Arabidopsis thaliana: one gene and its partner. The protein of the gene in region 1 interacts with the protein of each later gene in a pairwise test. Each region holds a gene or a part of one and is shown in the gene's direction. Other genes may lie near its edges.

What was found. Proteins that work in one complex are often made in the same cells at the same time.
Region 2: the proteins of PUB49 (region 1) and CAT1 interact in a two-hybrid assay, tested with the Arabidopsis thaliana proteins (one large-scale study listed by BioGRID).

The regions. Positions count from the first base shown.
Region 1 is NC_003076.8:26,939,383-26,944,699, forward strand, and holds PUB49 (plant U-box 49), read left to right. Parts: upstream 1-1,691; 5' UTR 1,692-1,877; coding exon 1,878-2,005; intron 2,006-2,084; coding exon 2,085-2,147; intron 2,148-2,229; coding exon 2,230-2,333; intron 2,334-2,416; coding exon 2,417-2,508; intron 2,509-2,580; coding exon 2,581-2,670; intron 2,671-2,752; coding exon 2,753-2,828; intron 2,829-2,923; coding exon 2,924-3,282; intron 3,283-3,358; coding exon 3,359-3,615; intron 3,616-3,707; coding exon 3,708-3,996; intron 3,997-4,071; coding exon 4,072-4,182; intron 4,183-4,277; coding exon 4,278-4,496; 3' UTR 4,497-4,764; downstream 4,765-5,317. Other genes in the region: APK4 (adenosine-5'-phosphosulfate (APS) kinase 4), read left to right, coding at 1-188, 371-502, 590-858, 930-1,014, 1,150-1,196, 1,290-1,460; AT5G67540 (Arabinanase/levansucrase/invertase), read right to left, coding at 4,871-5,317. UniProt on the Arabidopsis thaliana protein: May catalyze the cis-trans isomerization of proline imidic peptide bonds in oligopeptides thereby assisting the folding of proteins. May also function as a chaperone, playing a role in intracellular transport of proteins.
Region 2 is NC_003070.9:7,145,009-7,150,680, forward strand, and holds CAT1 (catalase 1), read left to right. Parts: upstream 1-1,627; 5' UTR 1,628-1,803; coding exon 1,804-1,818; intron 1,819-2,404; coding exon 2,405-2,501; intron 2,502-2,774; coding exon 2,775-3,052; intron 3,053-3,230; coding exon 3,231-4,007; intron 4,008-4,097; coding exon 4,098-4,187; intron 4,188-4,277; coding exon 4,278-4,345; intron 4,346-4,447; coding exon 4,448-4,601; 3' UTR 4,602-5,172; downstream 5,173-5,672. Other genes in the region: CAT3 (catalase 3), read left to right, coding at 1-597, 683-772, 872-1,033, 1,126-1,185. UniProt on the Arabidopsis thaliana protein: Occurs in almost all aerobically respiring organisms and serves to protect cells from the toxic effects of hydrogen peroxide.

The DNA.
Region 1 (5,317 bases):
CGTTTCGCCGGCGTTCGGTGAGTCTGAATCGCACCGGTTATCGGAGCGGCGGTTTCTGAAATTGTCTAGCTCCACGAATTCGGATCCCGCCGGTAGTAAAAGTTTGAAGCTTCGCGGGAAAATTCATCGGAGAATGAGCTACTTCCGTCCGATCATGGCAAAAGATGAATCCATTTCATCGCGGTCCGGTAATAATCACGTAATTCCGTTCTGGTTCATCTCTAATCCTAGTTTGGGTTCCTATGATTCGTTTTTAACATTTGGGTTCCTGAGACCAGAAATTTCCATAGTTTTAGCATAAAGTTTGGACCTTAGTAGACAGATCAATGATGTATATCTGAATAGATCTAATCTCAGATAATCTAACCAGGTGAAACGAAGCAAATCAATGGAAAGCAAAAGAACATTGTCTGGCATGATTGTCCCGTTACTAAATCCGACAGGCAAGAATTAATTAAGCAAAAGGGATGTGTGATTTGGATTACTGGCTTAAGTGGTTCAGGTTTGGTCCTTTGTTTCTGAATTGATCTCTAACTACATCTTGTTATGTTTCTACTGGATTCTTTCAAATATTCTCGTATTTTTTCAGGTAAAAGTAGTCTGGCATGTGCTCTTAGTCGAGCTTTGCACAATCGTGGAAAGCTTTCGTATATACTTGATGGTGACAATGTTCGACATGGTTTAAACAGCGATCTTAGTTTCGAAGCAGATGATCGAGCTGAAAACATTCGAAGAGTTGGTGAAGTGGCTAAACTGTTTGCAGATTCTGGTATTATCTGTATTGCAAGTTTAATATCTCCTTACCGGATAGAACGAGCTGCCTGCCGTGCATTATTACCACAAGGAGATTTCATTGAGGTTTCTCCAAGTTCATGAATTTGAATCCCAGTCTCAACATCAATCTGACTTTCTCTTGGTTCTCTTGATAGGTATTTATGGATGTGCCACTCCATGTTTGTGAAGCTAGAGATCCAAAGGGCTTATACAAACGTGCACGCGCTGGTAAAATCAAAGGTAACTTTGCTTTTTCTCTGCATCTGTTTTCAACTTAACCCATGTTCTACTGATTTTCATTAATTATATAACCTTCTTGATCTATCCATTTGATTATATGTAAATATATTGTTCCCCAAAACATTTCTTCTCCAGGTTTTACAGGAGTAGATGATCCATATGAAGCGCCTTTGGATTGCGAGGTTCATATAATATCCAATTTTTGTTATATAAGTTGGAATCTAGCTCATCTCCGAACTTGAATCTAATGTTGTGTTTCCGACTACTCTTTGCAGATTGTAATACAAAACAGTAGAGACAAGGGGCTTTCTTCTTCATCTTCATCTTCATCTTCACCTTCATCTTCGTCTTCTTCTCTGTGTGAAATGGCAGATATTGTTGTGTCGTACTTGGACCAAAATGGATACCTGAAGAAACACTCCACAAAATCACGTAATTGTATGTAAATGTAATATTAATATCATTGTTGTAACGTTTCTTAAACCTATTTTACCTATGGACGATTAAATTGTGAAAACATAAATGTAATTCACAATCTGCAAAGAGTTGGTAAGAAAAACTTGTTTGATTGATTGAGAGAATGAGATTATTATATGGCCGCCAAGTTGGCGCCAACTCTCCGGCTTTTTAAGTAATCGAGCATTTGGGCCTAAAAATATACGGCCCAGTGTTAACAAAACAGGCCTTTTTAATATCCGGGTCGGACTCTATTAAGGCCGGATCTGGTTCTACGGCGGCGACTCCTCCTCCTGACTATAACAAAAACAAAACGCGGTGGGGAGGGCGGTAGTATCAGACAGATCGAAAATCGCAACGGTTAAGATTCCAGCTACTGAAATCTATCAACGTCGAAGAAGTGAACGATGGGGAAGAAACAACACAGCAAAGATCGGATGTTCATAACGAAGACGGAGTGGGCAACAGAATGGGGAGGCGCTAAATCCAAAGAGAATCGAACTCCTTTCAAGAGTCTTCCTTACTATTGCTGCGCGTATGTTTCTTCCACGATTCCACTACTTTCAAATTGGGTTTCAATCTCTCCTAATTTCAATCTGTTTGTTCTGATTCAGGCTTACGTTTTTGCCATTCGAAGATCCTGTGTGTACAATCGACGGGAGTGTTTTCGAGATAACGTGAGTAGTTTGTTTCATAGTGATTTAAGCTTTTACTTAAGGCATTAAGGGAGCTTAATTATTGACTTTTGGGAATTTGCAGAACAATAGTGCCTTACATTAGGAAATTTGGAAAACATCCTGTTACTGGAGCTCCATTGAAAGGAGAAGATCTAATTCCTCTCATCTTTCACAAGAACTCTGAAGGTTCTCTTCTTTCTTCTCTCTTTACCTATGTTATCTGATGCCTTGTGATTTCTCTCATCTTTGATATGTGGCTACCATTGTAGGAGAGTATCATTGTCCTGTTCTAAACAAAGTCTTCACTGAATTTACACATATTGTTGCTGTCAAGACTACTGGAAATGTATTCTGCTACGAGGTTTGTTTTTTTTTTTTTTTGCTTTGCTTATTTTTGGTTTCGATGATTCTTATTGTTGCTGTGTAAATTTAGGCAATCAAAGAGTTGAATATCAAAACCAAGAATTGGAAGGAGCTTTTAACTGAAGAACCATTTACAAGAGCCGACCTTATAACAATTCAGGTAACTAACCTCTTTCTCTCTGCTTGAAGCTTTTTTTGCAATGGGTTAGTGTCTTAAAGCATTTTTTGGTAACGTTTTGCAGAATCCTAATGCAGTTGATGGTAAAGTGACGGTGGAGTTTGATCATGTTAAAAACGGTCTTAAGATCGATGATGAAGGTTTGATTTCAGTTTTATATTCGACCAAGCAATTTATCATAATACGTGTTTTGTTTAGGTTGGTTACGACTCCAATATCTTGTGTTTTCTTGCAGAGTTGAAAAAGATGAACTCAGACCCTGCTTATAATATAAACGTGTCTGGAGATATCAAGCACATGCTTGCAGATCTTGGAACTGATAAAGCTAAAGAGATTGCTTTACATGGTGGAGGTGGAAACAAGGCACGTAATGAAAGAGCCGCTGCTATTGCTGCGATTCTGGAGTCAAGATCGAAAATCAAAGAGGTTTCTAAAGCAGAACAACCGAAACAGACCTACAGTGTTGTTGATGCTGCATCTGCTTCGGTTTTTGGAAGAAGTGCTGATGCAGCTAAAGCTGGTTCTAGTGATAAAACAGCTGCAAGAATAGCTATGCATATGGCTGGAGATAGAACACCTGTTAATTCTAAAATGGTTAGCTTCTTCTTCGGAATAAACTCGGTTAAAAGGTTTGTGTATTGTTGTTAAAGCGTTTGGTGTTTTGTTGCAGGTGAAGAGCCGTTATTCGTCGGGTGCTGCTTCTCGTTCTTTCACTTCCTCTGCCTTTACTCCTGTAACCAAAAACGATTTTGAACTAATTAAAGTCGAGAAAAACCCGAAAAAGAAAGGGTATGTTCAGTTTCAGACAACACATGGCGATTTGAACATTGAGCTCCATTGCGATATAGCTCCTAGAGCATGTGAGAATTTCATCACTCTCTGTGAACGTGGTTACTACAATGGAGTGGCCTTTCACAGAAGTATCAGGTATGCATACATATATGTCTTGGAAATCTGTTTTGTTTTAAGAGTTTTTATGGGGCAATTAAACATGATCTTTTGACCTTTCTTCTACAAAGGAACTTCATGATTCAAGGGGGCGATCCAACTGGCACAGGAAAAGGAGGTGAATCCATTTGGGGGAAGCCATTCAAAGACGAGCCAAACTCGAAGCTGCTTCACTCAGGAAGAGGCGTAGTTAGTATGGCTAATAGTGGACCTCACACAAATGGTTCTCAGTTTTTCGTCTTATACAAATCAGCGACCCATTTAAACTACAAGCACACAGTGTTTGGTGGAGTTGTTGGTGGTTTGGCAACACTAGCAGCAATGGAGAATGTACCTGTAGATGAAAGCGACCGTCCTCTTGTAAGTTCCAAAAACTCAACTCACTGTGTTCTTTAGTAGTTTCTGTCTCCTGAGAGTATTTTGTAATTTCTGCAGGAAGAGATTAAGATAATCGAGGCAAGTGTGTTTGTGAATCCATACACGGAGCTTGATGAAGAGGAAGAGAAAGAGAAAGCTGAGAAAGAGAAGAATGAAGACAAAGACATTGTTAGTATCATCCCTTCCACCAAATATGATCTCTCTTTGCTCTCTTACTTTGGATTGGTCTGATAAGATTATATATGAACTATGTAATGTATCAGGAGAAGATCGGGTCGTGGTACAGCAACCCGGGATCAGGAACAACAGAAGCTGGAGCGGGTGGCGGTGGTGTCGGAAAATACTTGAAAGCTATGAGTAGTACAGCCACTAAAGACACTAAAGGTTCCCTAGACTCAGATATTTCAACCATTGGAGTGTCTAAGAAAAGAAAAACTACTGCGTCAGCCTCCACAGGGTTTAAAGATTTCTCTAGCTGGTAATTGAAAACATTCTCTACCTACTTTGTAAAACCGTTGACTAGTTTTGATAGAGACCAAGTCACAAAAGCATTTGTATGACAACACTGAGCCTTTGATGTCCAAAATCTGGAGCTGTGTAATAAAGTTGACTAGTTTTGATGGAGCCCAAAAGTCACAAAAGCATTTGTATAACAGCCCAAGTCACAAACGCATTTGTATAACATTGAACCTTTGATGTCCAAGAGCTGAGGCTGTATCTTCAGTAAAAAGATTTATTAAGTATAATCCTTACAGTGGTGTGTATGAATGCCTAATCTACAAAACAAATCAACAAGACAACAACAATGATCAGCACTGACGGATCGGTAAGAACATATTTGGTTATTTGTATGTCTTTAAGGCAGCCGCCATTTACTGTGCCAGTAGATGGACACTCTGGACCACGATGGGAACCCGAAGTTGAACTCCAAAGGCTGGTCAGCAGGTCCACCTATAACTAACGGTAACCACACGTATCTGGAATCCCGCAAATCAGCCGGGTTCCACCTATCTGCCATGAATATAAACGCACCGGGAACACCAGGTAAAGGAATCACATAAGTGCTCTGCGCAAAGAATGTTGTTAACCGGAAAACTTTGTTACCACCGATACACGGGTTCCCCAATTTCTCCCATGGACCCATTATAGATTCAGCCGCATGAGCCAAGGCTTCATTTGGTGCCCAACCAGTGCACCAGGAAGTGACCATGTAATAAATATTCTGATGCTTGAAGATAGCTGGAGCTTCCCTGTGTTGTCCCACCATTACTCTCTTCATAACCGGTGTCACATCGAGGTAATC
Region 2 (5,672 bases), on another chromosome or scaffold:
GATGATGTTGGTATTCCACAAGATTACAGGCACATGGAGGGTTTCGGTGTCCACACCTACACTCTTATTGCCAAATCTGGAAAAGTTCTCTTTGTGAAGTTCCACTGGAAACCAACTTGTGGGATCAAGAATCTGACTGATGAAGAGGCCAAGGTTGTTGGAGGAGCCAATCACAGCCACGCCACTAAGGATCTCCACGATGCCATTGCATCTGGCAACTACCCCGAGTGGAAACTTTTCATCCAGACCATGGATCCTGCAGATGAGGATAAGTTTGACTTTGACCCACTTGATGTGACCAAGATCTGGCCTGAGGATATTTTGCCTCTGCAACCGGTTGGTCGCTTGGTTCTGAACAGGACCATTGACAATTTCTTCAATGAAACTGAGCAGCTTGCGTTCAACCCGGGTCTTGTGGTTCCTGGAATCTACTACTCAGACGACAAGCTGCTCCAGTGTAGGATCTTTGCTTATGGTGACACTCAGAGACATCGCCTTGGACCGAATTATTTGCAGCTTCCAGTCAATGCTCCCAAATGTGCTCACCACAACAATCACCATGAAGGTTTTATGAACTTCATGCACAGAGATGAGGAGGTACGTCTTAGTACACCACTTGAGCTACCATTGTTAGTCTTTTTACTTGGAATCAAAATTCTCATTTGGTTTGTACTTTTTACAGATCAATTACTACCCCTCAAAGTTTGATCCTGTCCGCTGCGCTGAGAAAGTTCCCACCCCTACAAACTCCTACACTGGAATTCGAACAAAGGTCCGATTCCTGCCATGCCTTCTCTAAATCTTCAAATCCTAAACTCAAGTTTATTAGAATATTGGTGCTAAGAAAACCTTTTAATTGCTAATGTTGCAGTGCGTCATCAAGAAAGAGAACAACTTCAAACAGGCTGGAGACAGGTACAGATCATGGGCACCAGACAGGCAAGACAGGTTTGTTAAGAGATGGGTGGAGATTCTATCGGAGCCACGTCTCACCCACGAGATCCGCGGCATCTGGATCTCTTACTGGTCTCAGGTCAGAACAAAAAAACACTCGGTCAAATTTCTACGTCCTTTTTACCAAGTTTCAGCAAACTAAAACATTATTTATCTCTCTGTATCTCTCAGGCTGATCGATCCTTGGGACAGAAACTTGCAAGCCGTCTGAACGTGAGGCCAAGCATCTAGAGGCCAATCTCCATATAAGCTCAGTCTATGTGAGGTACAATCAATCTCATCGATCTATCATCGCTTGGTCGTTAAATCCGTCAAAAAGATAATCACATGTGTTGTTGTTTCTTGTCTATATAATAATAATGCTTGTAATCCCAAAAACTCATGTTTCCTTCCTTTCTACTCTCACTGTCTTTGTAATCTCTTTTTACAATAAATCAATGTTTCTTGAAGCAGTAAACAATTTCTAAGATTTATGGTGGTCGTTATACATATTATTAATTCAGGAAAAAAAAGAGAAGATACCGTAATTGAACATGTATTATTTTAAGGAGAATCCTGAAATGGATCAACAATTGTCTAATTATGGTATAGTATCTGGCGAAATCAAAGACGATATCATCCACACGTAATTAGTTTGACTATTAATACGAGGATTATCATTTGGATAAGGATTAACAAAGACAAAACACATACGTGTTTTGGTGTTGAGCTAAAATAAGATATTTTGGCTCTCGCTATAAAAAAAAAATCGACAACAGTGCAGACACACGCCGATTTGCGAGATACACACAGTCTCACCTAAAAATCGCAAAAGAAGAAAAATTCGGATCAAAATTGTCTTCAAGCATCATGGATCCATACAGGGTACATCGATTGATTCTCTTTTTTTGTAATCTGTGATTTTACCTTACTTGATTTCGTATCGATTTGGTGTGATTTCGTGTTGAATCCAAAGTGTATGAATGATCTCTCTCTCTCGGTTAAAATGATGCAAAATTGGGGTGATTGTTCGACTTGTTGAGGTTTTTTTGTGTGAATCGATTTCTTTATTATATAGTGGAGATTGGGTTTCGATTTGCATGCGTTGAAGATTCCACTGGAAAATTCAACATGTTTTTCCGTCTATTGATTGTTTATTTGTCAACATGCTCATGCTCATGCTCATGTTCTAATACACAAGTCTTAAGGCTGACGTGATCTGTCAATATCGTTGTACATGTTTTAAGGTTTCTTTACGATTTTTTTAAAGTTATTTTAATCACTGTGTTCAATTGTGAATATCATTGTTGCTTGTATCGTATTTTTTTAATTGATCATATATACTTATGTGGAATTGTTATGTATCAAGTATCAATGTATCATTATTTGTCATAGACGTTTCTCCAATCTATGGAAATTTGGTTAATTTTTTTGTGATCCAGTTCTTCTGAATTTATTTGTTGGTGTGCAGGTTCGTCCTTCAAGCGCTCATGATTCCCCTTTCTTCACTACAAACTCGGGTGCTCCTGTCTGGAACAACAACTCTTCTTTGACTGTCGGAACTCGAGGTCCGTTTCTCTTTCTTATCTCTTGAATACAAATTATAACAAATATGTTGAACCAGTGGTTGTTAGAAATGCCCTTAAAGCTAGAGTAGTGGAAGCCAAATAATTTTATAAACGTTTGGATAATAATGTCATTAGTGTTTTTGTTGTGGACTTGCGTAAATCACATTTCTTCCTTCAGTTTTATGCCAAATCTGATATAATTCCTCAATGTTGATTCTGTCTCAGTTGCTTGGATTTTTAGATATGTTAAGCGATGGTTTTATATATTGTCAGGTCCAATCCTTCTGGAGGACTATCATCTGCTTGAGAAACTCGCTAACTTTGACAGGGAGCGGATTCCTGAGAGGGTTGTTCATGCCAGGGGAGCCAGTGCTAAGGGTTTCTTTGAAGTCACTCATGACATTACCCAACTTACTTCTGCTGATTTTCTTCGAGGACCTGGTGTTCAGACTCCTGTTATCGTTCGTTTCTCAACTGTCATCCATGAGCGTGGCAGTCCCGAGACTCTCAGAGATCCCCGTGGTTTTGCTGTTAAGTTTTACACCAGAGAGGTTAGCTTTTTGTCTTATCCTTCCATTGTCTCTCTATTTTCTATAACCGATATCGATGTGTTTGCTGATATTCAAACGTTTATTTGCTTATCTATTTCGTTTCACCACCTATATGATTACTTGCAAATCATATCATACTATACTGATGATTCCTCTTACCCTCTGTTTGCAAACTCAGGGGAACTTTGATCTTGTTGGGAACAACTTCCCTGTATTCTTCGTCCGTGATGGAATGAAATTCCCTGACATGGTCCATGCATTGAAACCGAATCCCAAGTCTCACATTCAGGAGAACTGGAGGATACTGGACTTCTTCTCCCACCACCCAGAGAGTTTGCACATGTTTTCATTTCTCTTTGATGATCTCGGTATCCCACAGGACTACAGGCACATGGAAGGCGCTGGGGTCAACACTTACATGCTAATCAACAAAGCTGGAAAAGCTCACTATGTGAAATTCCACTGGAAGCCGACTTGTGGGATCAAATGCCTGTCGGATGAGGAAGCTATCAGAGTTGGAGGAGCCAATCACAGCCATGCCACCAAAGATCTCTATGACTCGATCGCAGCCGGGAACTATCCGCAGTGGAATCTCTTCGTTCAGGTGATGGATCCTGCCCATGAAGACAAATTTGACTTCGATCCGCTTGATGTCACAAAGATCTGGCCTGAAGATATCTTGCCTTTACAACCTGTTGGTCGCTTGGTCTTGAACAAAAACATCGACAACTTCTTTAATGAGAACGAACAGATTGCATTCTGTCCTGCTCTTGTGGTTCCAGGCATCCACTATTCAGATGATAAGCTACTCCAGACCCGGATCTTCTCCTACGCTGATAGTCAGAGACACCGTCTTGGACCAAACTATCTGCAACTACCTGTTAATGCCCCTAAATGTGCTCACCACAACAATCACCATGATGGTTTTATGAACTTCATGCACAGGGATGAGGAGGTAATCTTATCTCTCGGCTCTAGAAACTCCCAGATACTTAAATTCGCAATCACATTTATATGAAGTGAATTTGTTGCTTTCCAATTCCAGGTCAATTACTTCCCTTCAAGGTTGGATCCAGTTCGCCATGCCGAAAAATACCCTACAACTCCTATTGTCTGCTCTGGAAATCGTGAGAAGGTCAGAGTCCTCTACATACATTAATTTTTGATCACAAGTTTTATCCTCATAAGTCATAGTTAAAACTCAAATGTCATCTTTATATCACAGTGCTTCATCGGGAAGGAGAACAACTTCAAGCAACCAGGGGAGAGATACCGGTCCTGGGATTCAGACAGGTAAACACTAAAAACTCAAAAACCACATTGCAAAATCAACAATTACACATGAACCACAAATGTCATAATTCATTCTAATGGTCTTTTGTTTTGTACCAATAGGCAAGAACGATTCGTGAAGCGTTTTGTTGAAGCGCTTTCGGAGCCTCGTGTCACGCACGAAATCCGCAGCATTTGGATCTCTTACTGGTCTCAGGCAGACAAATCTCTGGGACAGAAACTAGCAACTCGTCTTAACGTGAGGCCAAACTTCTGAATGATATCATCTCTAAAGACTAAGTGAAATCCTATAAACTCAATATGCTCCTCTTACGGTTTGGTTTCTAAGTAATCTCGTTTATTGACAATGAAACGCTTAAAGAAGGGTACTAGTTCCTGTTTGTAATCTTCTTTTCAAAATATTAACGATTATTTTCTAAGGCAAATAAATAAAAAGCTATGACTAATATAGCTTAGTAAACAAGTATCACTATCATCCATTTGGTTCTACTTTAAAAATGGATTTTTATTTGTATTTTAATCTTCTGCATCTATGACGTGAGCTTATAGTTGGAATTTTATTGGGGTCTAATGTCAGACGCACGATCTTGATAAAAAAGTTTTATGTCTGTCCATATTTTGATAAATTGGCATAGTCATCACTCATCACGTCAGACCTTTTAATTGGTCAATCGTTATGATGCTACATCGCATTCATAATTTATAATTTACATGTAAGTGGGGGTGGAGTATTTGATTATTCCGCTGCTAGTGGAAATGCAAAAAGAATAATGAGAGCAGACCAATTTTAATTATGCTTATACTTTGTTGCGCTTAACTTTTAATCAGCTAATACAGTCTGATTAATCTGATGTCTCTCAGCCAGTAGTTTCTTTTCTTAAAGAGAACCTCAGCGCAAATCAGAAATTAGACACATGGAGCCACATCAAACTTAATCACCAATAATATCCTTTTCTCATGTATTTTTCAGTCTCATATTTTTTTTTACAACTTGTTAAGTGGTAGTGTGCGAAGATTTTAGATCGAAGTTACGCATCTTAAGAGATTATTTATCCAATGAAATGGTATAGTGAACTGTGTTTGCTAATGGTCCAGGATTTTATACATTTAAAATTCATAACTTTGCAGTTTAACGAAAAACAATAACAAATTTAACGTGTTTTGGTTGTCGTTAACAAGATCTCGGATCCATTTAGGAAAAGTCAATATCTTGATGACGAAATCAAGAAGACTTTACTTTGATTGCATGTGACGGAACTTAAGCACTATACTAAACGATAAAATGTAATTATGTAAATATCTAAGTTTTGAGGTGTATAATGCAAGA